Linked DNA regions of Oryzias latipes. The protein of the gene in region 2 interacts with the protein of the main gene of each other region in a biochemical or structural test. Links are inferred from orthologs where the notes say so. Each region holds a gene or a part of one and is shown on either strand. Other genes may lie near its edges. The genes, in order: ras-related protein Ral-A and exoc2.

Region 1 (8,352 bases), on a different chromosome or scaffold from region 2:
AAGTGTTTTGTTGTTTAAATTCCCTAAAGGGTGAAGGTTATTTGTGCATTTGAGGAGACCTGGAGAAGAGGGAAGGAAATGGAAGCGTTAGTGCTCTTTTCTACATGTGTTGATCACAGACAGACACAAAAAATAAAAACTTCCACATGGAATATTTGCAAAGTAAGAAGGAATGGCATTGAATTTCATTTCCACCGTGACACTGAGCGTGTCCTTGAACTCCAACTGTCTACTCATCTAAAGCAGACGGTGTCGCGTTAGCGTGGATCGGGGGCTTTTCTGTTTCCTCTTGAAACCTGGGCTCTCAACTCTTTCTCAGCCTAAGCGCACTGCAACGTTTTTTTAAGGATGTTTCACACACAAAACTATACAACAAAAGCTTGTCAGGGCTTATTATTGAGCTTCAGCCTAAATGTAAAAAACAAAACATCCATCTAATGACCCTGTTGTTGAGAGAAGAAGGAAGATAAAGTATTTGGAGTGTCAGAACATAAAAAGTTAGAGCTATAAGTGGTGAATGGAGCGCCACCGTTCTACGGCCTGACCCTCAGTCAAATGTCCTCTCGGCCACTAACGCAAGGTTACGGTCAGGTTTGGGCACAAAATAAATGCAAACGTCTGAGAAATGTGCGCGTACTTCAGCATCACACCACTATAAAATACAGCATCGCTCTCTGATTCTTTTGGCCAAACTTTTGCTTTTCTTCTTCCCGTTCTTCTCTTTGCTGTCCTCCATTTTCCTCGCTCGGATTTCTCTCATCAGGTCGAAAAACACCTAAACAAAAGCAGACAAGCGACAGAAAGGAGTTGCAGATCTTTATGAACGAGGCCGTCGCTCAGCGCGCCGACACCAACCTTGTCAACGTTGGCACGGGTTTTGGCAGAAGTTTCCACGTAGCTGACTCCCCACTGCTCCGCGCGGGCCTTGGCCTCCTCGGCGCTGACCTGCCGCCGGTCGTCCAGGTCCGACTTGTTACCGACCAGGAGGAAGGGCACGCTCTCGTCCTCCTTCACCCGCAGAATCTGCTCCCTGTAGGGCAGCCAATGTGGGTCAGACGTGAAACCTGTCATCCAACGTCTGCCAGCATGAGCTGACGTGGGTCAATTCATTGATTCATGACCATATAGATCGTTTTTGATGGCATTTACTTTTTCTTTTCTTTCAGAATAGCAAAAGCATTTTAGGAAAGTTTTAAAAGAACTTGAGGGCTTTTAAAAAAAAGAATCAAAATTTCCACAAAGTTTGAAATAAAGAGAGCAAAGTTTAAAAACATTTCAGCAGAAAGTTTTGGCTTTTTAACCCATAGTATTCTGGAGGCTTGAGCTTTTTTTCCTACTTTAAAAATTGCTCCAATAGTTTATCCTTACAACAGTTCAGTTTTTCATTAGAAAACCCAATAATTCCACAATGTATCTGAAACTGTCCAAACAAAAAAACTCAACTTTTGTTTGTTTTAAACCAAAATTGTCAAAATCTAAAAAGTTTGTGAAACCTTCACGTTAACTTTTGATACGAGGAAAACTGGCGATATTAATGATCAATATTGCGATGACGATATATAAACTAATAGCAATAACCAAATTCATCATTTCCATTTCACTGCAACAGTTTAATTAAAATAAGAGTCAACATAACTCCTAATGACCCTCGTCTACATAACAGGGGTCCACCCCATTGGTCAAATGCATAAAGGGATTTATTTAAATTGTGAAAAGCTTCAAACTGCCATAATATTGTTTAAAAAAATTTTTTATTGCACAGCTTGATATCACAATAACGATAAATTTGCGATTCTCTGTACAAGCCTAGCTCTAAGAATTAAACACCAGTTTAAAATCAATTCATTCAATTGTTCAGATAATCCAGCATTACAGGCATTAAAGCAAAAAAGGAGAACAGGTTTGTCTCTCACCAAACCGTACTTTGAATACATTTTAACTTTGGCATTCAACTTAACAGTTTTGCATTATTTCTGCTGTTTTATAATAAACCCAGCCCCCTCCTCGTTTCAACCCCTTATTACTTTCTACAGAGTGTCAACCAGACAGGTACCACGTCCCATTTTTAGTCTTTAGTATGACCTCACCGTGGACTTGAACCCCCGACCTCCCATTCTTTAGGTGTGCTTCATTAAACATTTGAACAGTAGTTGATGGGAAGAGCGTGTGATGCACAGAAACTTAATTAGGACGATAATAAAGTCAAAAAATGTCTGCAGAGGTCTTTGGATGAGATTGGGGGGGGGGGGGGGGGGTCAAACCCAACACGAAGATCAGAGTTTGGCGATTTTAGAAGCGTGTTGTCGAGGCGACGTTAAAAACATTCACCTGAAGTCTACTGTTGCTGCAAAGGACTCCAATTCTGTGATGGAAAACACGCAGAGGAAACCTTCGCCGCTGCGGAAGTAATTATCCCGGATGGCTGCGTAGTCCTCTTGGCCGGCCGTATCAAGGATGTCGATCTGCACCTCCTCTCCATCCAGCACCACTTTCTTCCTGTAGCTGTCTGCTTTAGTGGGCTCGTAATCTTCCACAAACTGGAACACACGGCATTGTGGGTTATGGCCAGAAGATCTCCTTCGACATGAGTCTGTGATGAGCGGCTCACCTCATCGTACATGAACTGCAGGGTCAGCGCAGACTTCCCCACTCCTCCACTGCCCACCATGATCACTTTGTGGAGAGCTAGAGAGTTCTGGCCTTTTGGTTTTGCAGCTGCCATGACGCCGTGAAGCAGAGGAAGTGAAGACCTTAGAAAATGTCCAGCTGTGGAAAAGGACTAAATGAAAATTCCTGTGGAGATTAAAACAACAAAAAAAGAAGAAATTGCATCATAATTTCCCTGCAAGAAAAGGGCAAATCCAAGACAATTTGGATGTCAAGTGTGATGCAGAGAGGAATTGAGTGAATTAAGCATTTAAGATAACCTTATTTAACATGTTTAGAATCTCTTTTAGATCAAACTACATACATGTGACACGTCTGTTAAAGTGGACCCGTCTTTGACTGTACAGGACTTTTCAAAAGTTCTGCAACGTTCCAGGAAAGAGACACCAGATGTGACTTTATTTTTTATGCAAGATGTGCAAAACAAAAGTCAAGGACTTATGGGAAAAGCCATCTCAGCTGTCATCCTCCCTCCCTCCCTATCTTTCCAACATTGGCTCTTCAAGACTTGAAAGCAACCAAAGCGACTGGAAAACACAACATCTGGAAGTTTCTGTATGGTCGTAAATCCACTCGGATGCAAATGACAGATGTTTACATGTTACTCTATCATAATGGTCTGTCGGACGGATGAGAAAAGAAGTGTTCAGCTCGGAGGCCCTAAGCTTACCAGGCCAAAGCCAAACCTCTGGGGATCAGAGATAAATAAACACGGGAATCCTGCCAGAACATCATTAAACAAATTGACAAAAATGGACCCGAGCATCGACAGGCGATTTAACAATTCAGCATATGAAGCCAATTCTCCATTACGGTAATAGTTTTAAAGCAGCAGAATGATCGAAAGTGGGAACGTCAGCTGGCCGGACTGAGAGGCGTTTCTGCAGCTTCACGGCTATAGAAACATTCATCAAACAATCTTAAGGCATAAAGAAATGCGGATTTATAGCGGATAATGACAGTCATTCAGGCGCAGCAGCAGTGATTACAACGACGTCGCTGTCATGAAGCTGCATTTTTAAACGACAACAACAGAGCACACAATGGGATTAGTCTGACTGCACCGATGACTAAACGGGCGGCGGTTGAAATTACCAGACACGGTCCCACGCACGTCCACAGACCCTGTATCATCAACGAGGGGGTAACTTGTTAACAAGTTAGTAGCTGTCAATAAAATGTAGCTAGCTGCCTGACTGACGATGTAGCTAAAAACACTCAGGTTAGCCGCACCTGCGTGGAATAATTAGTTGCTGGAGTTCCGAAAACGTACCGGTTCGGTGTGGAGGTCTTCTTGAGGTCCGGTTCTATTTGAGAGCAGCAACAGATGCTCGAACACGGGCTTCAAACCCAGCAGTTTTTATTTTATTTAGTCGCTAGCAAAGCACACACAGGGGAAGAGCTAACGCGCTCGCGGCTAATCAACTAACTAACCCGACTAAAAAAAAATACAAACAGAAAAAAAAAATCCAAAAAGAGGAATTAGGAACCAGCTGGAGCAGATGAACAAAGGGCTCTGTGGGAGGAAACACCTACCGGTACACCCAAGTATTCCCGAGGCGGAAGAGTCGACGCAGAGGCGGAATTGTGATGGTAAAATAAAAAAAGAGTCAGCTAGCTGCTCGTTAGCTCATGGCTAGCTGTGTGTGAGCAGCGGCGGGCGGGCGGACTGCACCTCCTGTGGGCTTGGCTCCTGCTGACAACGCCCGCCCGCCCGCCCGGGAGAGCCAGACAAGCCGGCTCACTTTTGTGTCTGGGTTGATTTATCAAACTTGCAATGACGAAAAAACACACAACGCAATGAATTAATCGTCTTCTGTTATGATAAAATATCGTAAAAACACCAGAGTCCGCGCGCTAAATGGTATAAATGACCCGGATGATTGGCATAAACGGTGGCAGGTTTGTCCTATATAAGCCATTTCTCTGAGTGTTTCAACGTTGGAGAGTGGATCAGTAACTAACTGTAGAAAGATATATCATCAAAACACAGACGTCTGTTTGTTTTTTTAAATATATTTTTGTTTGCAGTCATGAAGAGAAGCAGCTTAATTTCCGGCCTGCAGCTGAAGTTTGCACAGAGGAGCTGGAATGACACTCTTCTGCTTGTTCAAAGGTGCATGGTGAGCACAAATGTCTTTAAATTATATTTGACTTTTGTTATTTTGGTTTAACGATTTCTAGCTTTTCCTGTTTTTTTTCTTTCTTGTTTTCCCGTTTCTGTTTATTCTAGTATCTTCACCATTTTTTTTTTGCCGCTTAACTCCTTCTACAATTTTTCAGCTATTTCAACCATTCAACTATTCAAATGTTCAGCTCTTTCATCTTTTTCCAGCTTTGACTTTTGGTCCTACAAATCCTTGAACTTTTCAAGATATTCCAGGATTTCCAGGATTTCTGCCTCCATTGAAATAAATGGGGAATCCTTGGTGCAGAAGCTCGCCGGTTCGAATCCCGGCTCTGGCATTTTTTCTTATTTGTTTATTGTGCTGTTTTTACTTTATTTATGGTCAACTTTGATCATTCATTTATTTATTTATTTTTGCCAGTTATTACCCTTTAAGTTTCATTTTCACTCTGTAATACAGCATTCAACCCTGCATTTTCTTCTGGAAATGCAGCTCCTTCTAGTTTTTAACTAAGTCATCCTAAAGTAGTTTAAAGTTTCACTTTCATCCTCCTCTGTATTAATTTCTTAATGATGATTATGCTGTTTTTAGCCAACCCCGTGTTGTTTTCTAGGACATAGTTTCTGCAGAGCGGCATCATTTCAGGAGAAATTTGCCTCTGAGTTGTGCATTTCTCTATATCTGTCCTCCAGCCTTAAGAAAAATGCCACAGAAACACAATTTTCATGCAATAGCTAATATCTGTTGTCTGCAGCGTTACTAAATTCTTTGTCTTGTTCATTAAAGTGTTTTTAAATTGAGCTTTTTACACATCTGCATCATGAAACTTAAGTAAAGTCTGCAGGTTTTTGTGGTCAGTGAGTGTGAACAGCAAAAGCTCAGCGTGCTCATGAAGGTTTCCGTCCAAACTTGTGTGCAAGCAGAGTTTTCTTTAGATTTGTCATGGGTGGAGGAGCAGAGTCGGTAATTCTAGTGGATTTATTCAGAGTGGAGCTTGGCAGCGGTCCGTCCCTGGAGTCTGCTAAAGAAACACGATTACGCGGCGGTCTGAAATGATGTGTGGTCCGAGGGGATTGGGCAGATGGGGTTATAGTTGGACGCATTTCTGAGCAGCAGTCTTGCAGGCTGGGGTTTTTTAAAATGGCCATTTTTCATTCAAAAGTTAGTTTTTTTTAGCTTCAGGTATTGAAATTCAGCTGTCTGTTTGGCGTCAGGCAGCGTTTGTTCCCGGGGAGGATGGGTTCACGGGACCAGAGAGCGTTGAGCAAACCAACAAGTCGTCTATTGTTGCTTCTTTTCCCGCCTCCTTTTGTTCCCCAACAGGAGAAATCCAGAATTGAATCAAAGCCTTGTGAACCACTGGTTCGATCCCTGGAAAGACTCCAGGATGTGCTTCATGGTAAACAATCCTCCCAGCACTTCTTTGGGCATTTTATTAGTGTTTTTATTATTATTTTTTAACGTTTCAGCTCCTTGCAGAAGTGTGACGAGGTCCCGTTTGGAAATGATAGCCCAGCAACAAGGGTAAAGCGAAGCAGTCACGGAAAACACCTTTGAATCAACATTCTGATCACATTCTGACATTCGTTTGAACGTTTCCTCCCAAGGATGGGGTTTCACGTCACAGAAGACACGTGTTACCTTACCGCCGACCTGTTTTACCTGGAGGTGCTGCTGCCGCCGTGTGGTGGCGTGCAGGAGGTGAAGGTGGCGCTTCACGGAGAAGGTCCTGTCGTAAGTAGACTTGTTCATGTATGATGTAGCGTTTGCTTTTCACTCCATTTGTTAATTAAATAACATTTTTTTTCTGCAGCCCAGCGAGTCTTTTCTGAAGACACTGAGGTAAGAGGACGAGGAACGTTAACGTTTTTTTTTTGTTTTTTGCCACAAGGATACAAATTAGTTTATCATTTTCTGTAAAAATATGCAGCCATAACTAAAATGCTGTGAATTGCAACAATTCAGAGGAAAAAGCTGCACATTCTGAATTCAGAAATAAGACAAAAGGATGTGATGCTGAACTTTAAATGGAATATTTAAAAAAAAAAGTTATTATTTTTCTCAGAAATAAAAATTACTTAAAGATCACCTGGAACTATTATAATGGATAAGAGAAGCTAAGTGATGAAGCTGAAAATGAACTCACACAAAAAAGAAAACGACTAAAATAAGTTGAAATGCCAGAAAATTAGACTGAATTCAGGACAAACGACAACTATGCAGAGAAAGCCTTAAATGCTTCATTAATTAAATGCTTTAATGGATAAAACATCAAAGCACACTTGCTAATCTACCTGTAGGAAGTGTTAAATGGCTCTCCAGCTTTTATTTTGAAAAAGACTTATAACTATGGTTGTAAATGTTGATGCCATAGATCCGAAGACTTTGCTGCGTTCTCCACGAGGCTGAAAGACCTTTTCACTCAGTACAACATCCCTGGAGACAAGTACGCTCTCGAACGACGTCTTTTATTTTGGCTAAAAGGTTCTTTTATGACAATTTAGTCGTTCTTTTATTTTTTTTCTAGTGAAATCAAATTGAAACTGTTGGAGTCTCTACAGTTTCTTGTACGAGATTTGCAGAAAATGACAGGGTGAGTACAAGAACTATCATTTATTTAATTTATTTTTTTAATAGAGCCGCTGTGATGGAAAGTGTTTTTTAGTGTTTTAAACATTTTTCTGATGATGGAGGAAAAGAAAGAAGCTTAAAATTGCATTAAAGGAACAAAAAGGGGAAAAAAAGACGTATTTGTGACGTTTGACAGTTTTTTTTATTTTTTATTTTGGCCAAAAAACACACCGCCGCCATAATTGAAAGACCACTAGGAATGTTTTGAATGTACATTAAAAGATTATCAGAATGGGTTTTTAAAATACACGAATGTTGCAAGCAAAAATGTCATGGAAATGATCTGATTTTGAAGTAAAAAATACCTCTTGTGATCATGAAAGATCTCCAACTTTGAGATAAAATAGTTACTGGCATTACTATTTTACATTTCCCAAACTTAACAGGCAGGAAATGAATATGTCTTTGCTTCCACTTTTAGGGAAGCAGAGGACTGTGACCCCCAACAGCAATTGGTAAACAACAATAGGACTGGCTGTCTTGTTGCAGGAAAAGAAGGTAACAAATGAACACAAACACATTTAATTCTTACTACATTTAAGACCATTACTGTGGATTTATTTCAGACGGGCTGCTGACGGTCCTGTTCTACAAGCCACCCAATGATGGGATGTCAAACTCATGTAGATTTGGAACCAATCTGCTCAATTTTTAGACACATTTTGATTGAAAATCCTGTTTGTGAGCAGTGATGCAGACGGCTCAGGTCACTGTGGGCGCCAGCGCGGTGCCCCGCAGGCTGCAGATGGCCTCCGTCCTTCCAGAGCCTCTTCAGCTGGATTCACAGGGGTAACTCTGTCGTGGTTTAGTGCACCTATCACTCTCCATGACGGCGAGTCACAAAGCCACAGCTGTGGCATTAATAGAGCGAGAATTTGCCCCGTGGCAGCTGTCCGGTTGGTGCTCCGCCGAGCGAGGTGCCCGG
Region 2 (7,315 bases):
AGCAAAAAGCAGGTCATCTTTTGACAAGCGGGATGTTGGACGACTGGAAGCAGGTGAGCTGGAGATGCATGCTGCTCTTGAACTTGTTGAGCAGCTCTTCCAGCAACCTGGAGGGGGGAGATGATAATCTCACAAATCAAATTTGTTTTTGAATTTTTCGTGGGGGCAGAAGGCTGAATTCTCAGAACATGAGATGACCGACTCACTTCTTATCGCCTCCGCTGTGGAGCTGAGGCAGAGCCTCCAGAGCCAGTTTAAAGCTGGTGCTGAAAAAAATACGGCGCTCGGTTAAGACGTTACAAGAAAAACCGCACGTTTATTAACAGATGAAAGCCAGAGTATGCAGTTCAGGATGAGTATATGTACTCCATCCTGACATGAATGCAGAAACACACACATGCACACAGCAGCACACAATAGAACCAGATTACTTTCACTTCCCTTCCAGAAGCCACTAACTAACACACAGGGATTGTTGAGAGGGATATTCCCCTGGTGAAAACTGATGTCTGTGACATTCACTGCCATAAATCACAGGGCGCACATACTTACTTGCTGTCAGGGTTTATGTATGTGGCCACAGCGTCTCTTAGGGCGCAGAGCTCAAGCCGGGCCTAAGCGAATAGAAGGAAAAAAAAAAAAAAAACTAGGTGTAGCCAAGACCAAGTGATAATTGATAAACTGTCAGCTTCTTCAACTGAGATGTGGCGTTAGAAGAAATGACATGCCCACTTCCCCCCTTAAAAAGCAAGTGCGGCGTCGGCTTATGAGTCAGGGTCTTACTATGACTGAAATCGTGTACCTGCAGGGCGCCGTTTTTGCTGAAAGAGGACACACACTGCATCAGGCGACACATCTCATCTGCAACTGATGTCACGATCCTCGAGAGAACCGGAGGAACCAGATCCTTGGAGACTGTAAAGACCTGACAAAAAAGGAGCACTTAGATCCAAACTGCAAGGAAGTCAGAGGGATGAGAGCTGATGGTCTGGGTTTGTACCTCAGCATGGACTGCGATGATGCTCACAAGAGCTTCCTTTAGGTAGTTCCTCACACCTGAGAGAGTTAAAGTACAACATTAGTAAGGAGGTTCTTCATAAGTAAAAAACAATTCGATATGAAATCTTTTACACCTGAGCTTTAGCTCCAGTGTTAACGGTCTCCTGACTACCGTAGCTTTTCAACCGTTAACGCCATTGACAGAATTTCAGTGGATTCTGAAGAGGAGAAAAGCGGCTTCGCGTCGTTATGCAAAACTTCACCTCAGTAATGTTTTACATATCGGTGCAAAGCCGATACGAAGGCTGCTTTTCTGCGCGTCAGAATCCGCTGATTCATGTTGATCATTAAAAATGGTCAAAGATTGCCGCTTTGACAAGGAGTGGGCGCCATTTAGGTATCGCCGGCAACACCTCCAATGTAAAAGGGTTAGAAAATGATGAGAGGGATTGCAGCCGACATCCTGTCGTCTTTATGGAAATTTAGACCCAATGGAGGTGTGTGGTAGTTTCTTTTTATGCATGGTTTTGCAATAATTCCAACAATTACTCTATGGCATTGGTTTTGATTTAAACTGTACTTATGCTTTCTCAGTTAAACAAACTCTTCCTATCTTTTTTTGCAGTTGAAGGACTAACTGGAACCACTTCAGTAAAAAATAAAAAAACAATATATTTTGGAATCCAATCCCAAAGACTGAGAGAAGCTGAAACCTCTGCATGTGTCTCCAGAGCAGTTTTCCAAGTTCCACTAAGCAGAGAAGCTCTCTGACCAACAAGTATTGTAAGTTTTGACTAAACTAAGTGTGAAGTCCGCTTGAAAATGTAGTAACTTCTAATCTCCATTTTGTCCTAACATTAGAAAGAAAGCAGCTGATCGCCTTCCGTGTCTGTGTTCAGAGTGCTTAGGCGTCAAAACTACAGCCTCAGTGAAAAAGAAGCAACACGTCTGTAAAGTTCCCACTTTAGCAACATGAACCCAACAGACCTTTTAGTAAATGCAGCGGCGGACCGTGCGTTACACACCTGGGCCTTCAGTAGTGCTACGTCTGAATCACTCACTCCCTCATGAACCCTTTTACGAGGCAAAAACGAGCTTTGCATTGCATATTGAAAATTCCTGTAGCCACAAATAAATGCCTCTAAATAAGCTGAATAAACAAAACAGTAAACAAATCTCGTTATGCTACTACAGCCAGGAAAAAAACATTGAAAAAAAACACATACATTTGGAATAATATTTATTATGATACTTATCATTTCACTCATCAAAAAATCTGATTATTTGAAGACAAAATTCGTCCTCCTCTCTTTCATCAAAAACAGTTTGATGACCCTGTCATGTAGATTATCACGCTTCAGTTCCATCAAGTCCTTTTCATTTCCTTCAAGGTCAGTGCTGAAAGCGAGTCTTTCCAGTTGTGATTCTGGGTAAGTTTTAATTTGCTTTAGAGCTGAAAATGTCCGCTCGACAGATGCAGTGGACGCGGGGATGGTCAGCGCCAAACACACAAATCTGTACAGCTGATTCACGATCTCACAGATTTTTCTGATAAAGTCAAGGAGATCAGTGGGAGATTTTCCTGCAAAATCGCATACATTACAGTCAGCTCTGTTTTTAACCAAGACAGATCAAAAAATGCTCCGTGGTTCTTTGTCAAACTGGGCAAGGCTGCATGTGGGAAATGTTTCCTGTATTCCTGAAACTTCTGTCCAATCAGAGGGTCTGAATACCGTGATGCTGCCTAAGCCTGCTAGAAGGCCCTGCTGACACCAACTCAAAATCTGATTGGTTGACAGAAATGAATGTCCGACATTAGATCTCGCAGTATAGAACCTTCAGTACCGATGGTGAAGGCCTCTTTAGCTCTGACCCTGCCTAGCAAGAAAGGACAGCTGAAATGCGATTGGTTAAATGCACCAATATGAAAACACATGGATGCAGCAAAACCATCATAAACACACTTAAATAGAATGGACAGACCAATTGGAATGATTTAATGAGTATGCATGGACAAAATATAATTAACACATGATTCAGATATTTTTAGGCCTTCAGAGAAGGCCTTGAAGGCCCTGACGGCCCACCACTGAGTAAATGGTTTCCACGGGTTAACCGAAGCTGCTAAAAATTAGCAACACATCTTTAGCCCGCAATGCTAATCGTACTACAGAGAACGAGTCATTCTGCAATCACTGTTACTAGTAATCATTGGTTTAGAAGTGGAAGTGACTCGGAGCTTTGGACATTGCTTAAGTTGGGCATTTTTCCACTAAAACTCGTCAAAGTTTCTCCTCTGTGGTTTGCTCCATTCTTCTTGTTTTCGTCATTCCTGCGTTCGGCGCCACTGTGTGAAGCTGTTAAAGACGTGAAACCAAAAACTGAGAACGTGTTCAAGGAATCCTATTTCACAGCTTCTTAGACTATTGAAAGTAGGACACAAGTGTATTGAAAGTATATCGATGACTTTAGGAATTTAACCGCCAGAGCTTTTTCTAAAATGCTAACGTTTAGCAGTTGAGCAAAACTGTACACCATGTAACTGCCATAATAGGAAAATAAACAGATCATGATACATTTCTTGTGTGCATCATAGTTTTGCCTTTTTCAGCAGTGTATGATGGTGCAGACAGCCCAAATTCAGAGATTATAATTCTTTATTTATTTGATGAATTGTTATCTTGTTGGCAAAACACAAATCCAGAAATCCTAATGTTCCAGAGCACAACCAAGTAGAGGAAAGATGTTTGTCTTCCTATAAATATAACTTAAGACACTTTCTAATAAAATCAATCATTTCTTGCGTTTAAAAAATGCACAGAAGGCCAGAATTTGCTGATGCCTAATTGTATTGTCAATAAAAGAGCAGTACTTTAAAATAAACCAAACACTAAAATCTGTAAGTGACATAGACAAAAGCAGCAACAAAAAAAAACGTACTGAAACCGGATTCTCGATGCCCTGCAACACCCCACACGCTAAAATAGGACCGACACAAGGAGTGCGACAAGTGAAAGTATCATATCCTAGAACTGTGGTTTGCTGTCCATAATGTTCCTCTTTCGGATGTAAGCTCAAACATGAACTTTCAGAGGAAGCAACAAACCTGTGTGGGGCTCACACTTTTTTTTGTTGTCAAGACAAGGTAAAAAAAAAAAAAAAAAAGGCTAAACCGTAGCCCTTTCTGACAGATTCACTAGCTCTGTTTTGTTGCTTCACATCCTGCGTTAGGTTCAACCGCACACTCATATTAAAGTTTCACCTTTGTTTGTAAAGCTTGAGGGAGAAATGTCAATGTAAAGTAAAAAATTACTTCACACCCACACCTCCACAGAAAAGGCCGTGAGAGCTTGAGGAAGAAGAGCGAGAGCATGAACTCAGCAGTGTTTACAGTAAGGCTTCAAAGAGCTGTACTTCATACATGACACACTCTAACCACAACTGAGCTGAAGAGACCAAAGTCACCAGGTTTTGACTAAACAAGTCTGCTGGTGGCTGATCTCTCATGCTCCTTGGGTCAATGAGTGGTGATGGTGGGGGTTTCCCTCATGGTCTCAAACGCGGCTCCTGGCATTCATCAGGTGATACCTGACGGCGTCTGGCAGTCCCTCCAGTCAAAGTATCCAGCGTAGATTCCAGGCTCTAGGGAGCCGGCGATGGGGTCGGCACGCCGCTCGATGTAAGCTTCAAAGAGTTTCCGGTCCAGCTCTCGGATGGCGTCCATGCTCACCTGGAGGACGAGGAGGGAAAGAGAAAGATGGCTGCTGTCATCTATTTCTTTGGACATGACCTTGTAAGTGGAAAGTAAAAAAGAAATTAAAAAGAATAAAAAGTGGATTAAGCTGCTTACATCGCCATCTGCAACACGTTCAAGAGATCACTTCCATTGAAAAGTCTTTGTAAACGCACATATATGTGCGTTAGGGCATCTGTGTTCAACACTTTAGCATTCATGTGTCGCTACGCACAATTTTAGGACTGTTTTTAGGCTCCATGTACAAAACATGCTGTCATCAAAAGCATGTTGAAAGTTAAACAAGTTTGATCTTTGACCAATCAGAGACTCTGATTTGGTAGTGACGCATGGATGGCATCCCTTTAATTGACGGAAGTGCCCAACGTTTGAAAATTGATCGTGGAAGAGAAATTAACAGCTGCACGTTGGGCTCAGCCGTTATTCTATGACAGCAAGTCTTTCATATCTCAGAATAGAACTGTGAGAATTGTAGCAAGATTCATAAGGTTTGCAGGGCTTTGACATTTCGAACCAAGCCTCTTCCAACTTTAGGCACATGCGCTAGTATGGGTAGTGACAGTCCAGTGTGAACAAATGTACAAACAAACAAATGTGTGCTAAATGTCCGTTTAACATTGGATCCATTCCTGCACTTTTAGAGCAGCAGAATGCAGTACTTATGCTTTCATTCCAGAGAGATTCTGTTTGAACGGATCTAATGTTTACTATCCTTTGACATGCTTGGCTGAGGAGCAAAGTGACATCCAGACCTGGGTCTTAAACACATCCATAAGCATAACCTAAAGCAGAAAAATTGAAATGTGTTATTATGAATCTTTTTTCCTCTTTGTGTTGTTCTGCAGTGTGGAGAAACACAAAGATTTTCAAAAAGAAAAGAAAAAAGGTTTAATACTATGATCGACTATTTTTTTCTTTGCCATCAGCTTAATTCTTGGCTGGAAGAGAGATGGAATTAAATATTATGAAAGAGTTGGCTTACGCCATTGACTATAAAGGAGAACTGGACTGACTTTGTTCTGGCTCCAACCAAATGAAGTCAATTCAGTCGCCATTTTTTCGCAATGTAGATGTTGCCATGTTGGAGCCAGAAATCGTAAGTAAGCAGTGATTGGTCCAAATCAGTTTGAGTCATCGTTTCTATGGCGACCACTCTTGCCAACCAGGAGTAAGCTTGTTGAAAGGTCACACCCCTATCTTTTGAAAGTGGTCTTGGTAGAATCTGTCAATCAAACTTTTCAAACAATTGACTTAAAACGCATACCTTCATTGAGGCATCTGATTGTTCAGTGAATATACTTGAATAACTTGAAATAAAGAATAATAATAATGGTAAATAAAGAGGATTAGCAAAAAATGTAGCAGAGTAAGAACGGTTATTCCTACAAATGGAATGATTGAGCAATAGCCGTTTATTTCTCTGAAAAAGTCTAGCTTCTTGGAACCAGCAGGTACTTCCTGTTTGGAATGCAAGGGGGGAGGAGTCACTCAGTCCAGTTCTCAAATATAGTCAATGGTTTGAACTGAGGCTTAATTGAAATAGACCCCCCCCCCCCCCAATTTTTATTTATAAATAATAGGTCTAAACCCTCCTAAATTAATTTTTCAGGCATCAAGATGGATTTTTTTAAAATCTTGTATATCCTTCAATCTGACATTGGAGTAACACTGCAAAGAAACCAGACTGAGACAAAGAGTAAAAGAACCAACTTAGCACACTACATAAGTTAGCACAATCTGAACTGGTCACATGGTGTGTTTGTGAGCAGCTGCTAGCATTATTTATGCTGCTCTGACACCAGCTCCTATTAATAATGCTGTAAAGGCAGCATGTGCAGCAGTGGTACAACCCTTCAATACTTTCTTCTTTTTCTTGTTTACCGTTAAATGTGTTTAATGTGGAGCAGCACAGCTCAGCAGTCTAGACAAATTATCATAGGCATCATGCTTTCGGGTCTAATTCAAACTTTTAACTTAATCTTTCAAATAAAGTGAGTTTTTACAGGAAAATCAACAGATCAAACCCTTCTTAGCTTTGTGATTCAGCCATTAGTCATTGTGTGCAGCAGTGTGACTATGTTGAGAACAGAGGTGAAAAGTGTGACTTTTTCTTTTCATTAGTCATCCCTTTGCTGAGAAACGAAAAAAAACACACAGATCAGTTTAGTTGTTGTAGTTTGTTTTCTTCTCATGACGCCTCCACACTTCTCCTCAATAGGAGTGTAACAGCTGCAGGTCACAGCAGCAGGTACTGACCCGCGTGATCTTCTCTGTTCCCGTGAAGCCGTGCTTTTCAAAGTGATCCGCCAAGTTCAGGAAGGTGCGTCTCTCCAGGTACTGGCAGTTGCTCAGAATGATCAGCAAACGCTGCTCCTGTTCATAAAAGAAAGGAAAAGTTAGATTGTAATTTAAGCCCAAGACCTTGTTCCAGCACAAACTCGTTTTGTTAAATAATCACATGTTTTTGAAGACCTAGTTTGCAGAAAATGGTGTTTTGGTATTTTAACATGTGTCTGTGGCATTTTTCTAAAGATGGAGGACATGTATATAAAGAAATTAATT

Evidence for each region.
Region 1: the proteins of exoc2 (region 2) and ras-related protein Ral-A are reported together in a solved structure, tested with the Homo sapiens proteins (2 studies listed by BioGRID, with this or other methods). The link is inferred for Oryzias latipes from reciprocal best matches to the Homo sapiens genes EXOC2 and RALA.

The regions. Positions count from the first base shown.
Region 1 is NC_019878.2:22,514,478-22,522,829, reverse strand, and holds the start of ras-related protein Ral-A, read right to left. Parts: upstream 4,553-8,352; 5' UTR 4,261-4,552; coding exon of another isoform or gene 4,170-4,260; exon of another isoform or gene 4,154-4,169; intron 4,111-4,153; exon of another isoform or gene 3,941-4,110; intron 2,794-3,940; exon of another isoform or gene 2,767-2,793; 5' UTR 2,723-2,766; coding exon 2,609-2,722; intron 2,538-2,608; coding exon 2,329-2,537; intron 1,031-2,328; coding exon 856-1,030; intron 776-855; coding exon 653-775; 3' UTR 1-652. Other genes in the region: mediator of RNA polymerase II transcription subunit 1, read left to right, coding at 4,170-4,260, 4,699-4,790, 6,120-6,195, 6,266-6,320, 6,404-6,530, 6,610-6,638, 7,171-7,242, 7,324-7,389 and 4 more. UniProt on the Homo sapiens protein: Multifunctional GTPase involved in a variety of cellular processes including gene expression, cell migration, cell proliferation, oncogenic transformation and membrane trafficking.
Region 2 is NC_019862.2:21,229,394-21,236,708, reverse strand, and holds part of exoc2 (exocyst complex component 2), read right to left. Parts: intron 7,127-7,315; coding exon 7,010-7,126; intron 4,730-7,009; coding exon 4,588-4,729; intron 1,057-4,587; coding exon 1,001-1,056; intron 926-1,000; coding exon 803-925; intron 615-802; coding exon 553-614; intron 267-552; coding exon 207-266; intron 108-206; coding exon 14-107; 3' UTR 1-13. UniProt on the Homo sapiens protein: Component of the exocyst complex involved in the docking of exocytic vesicles with fusion sites on the plasma membrane.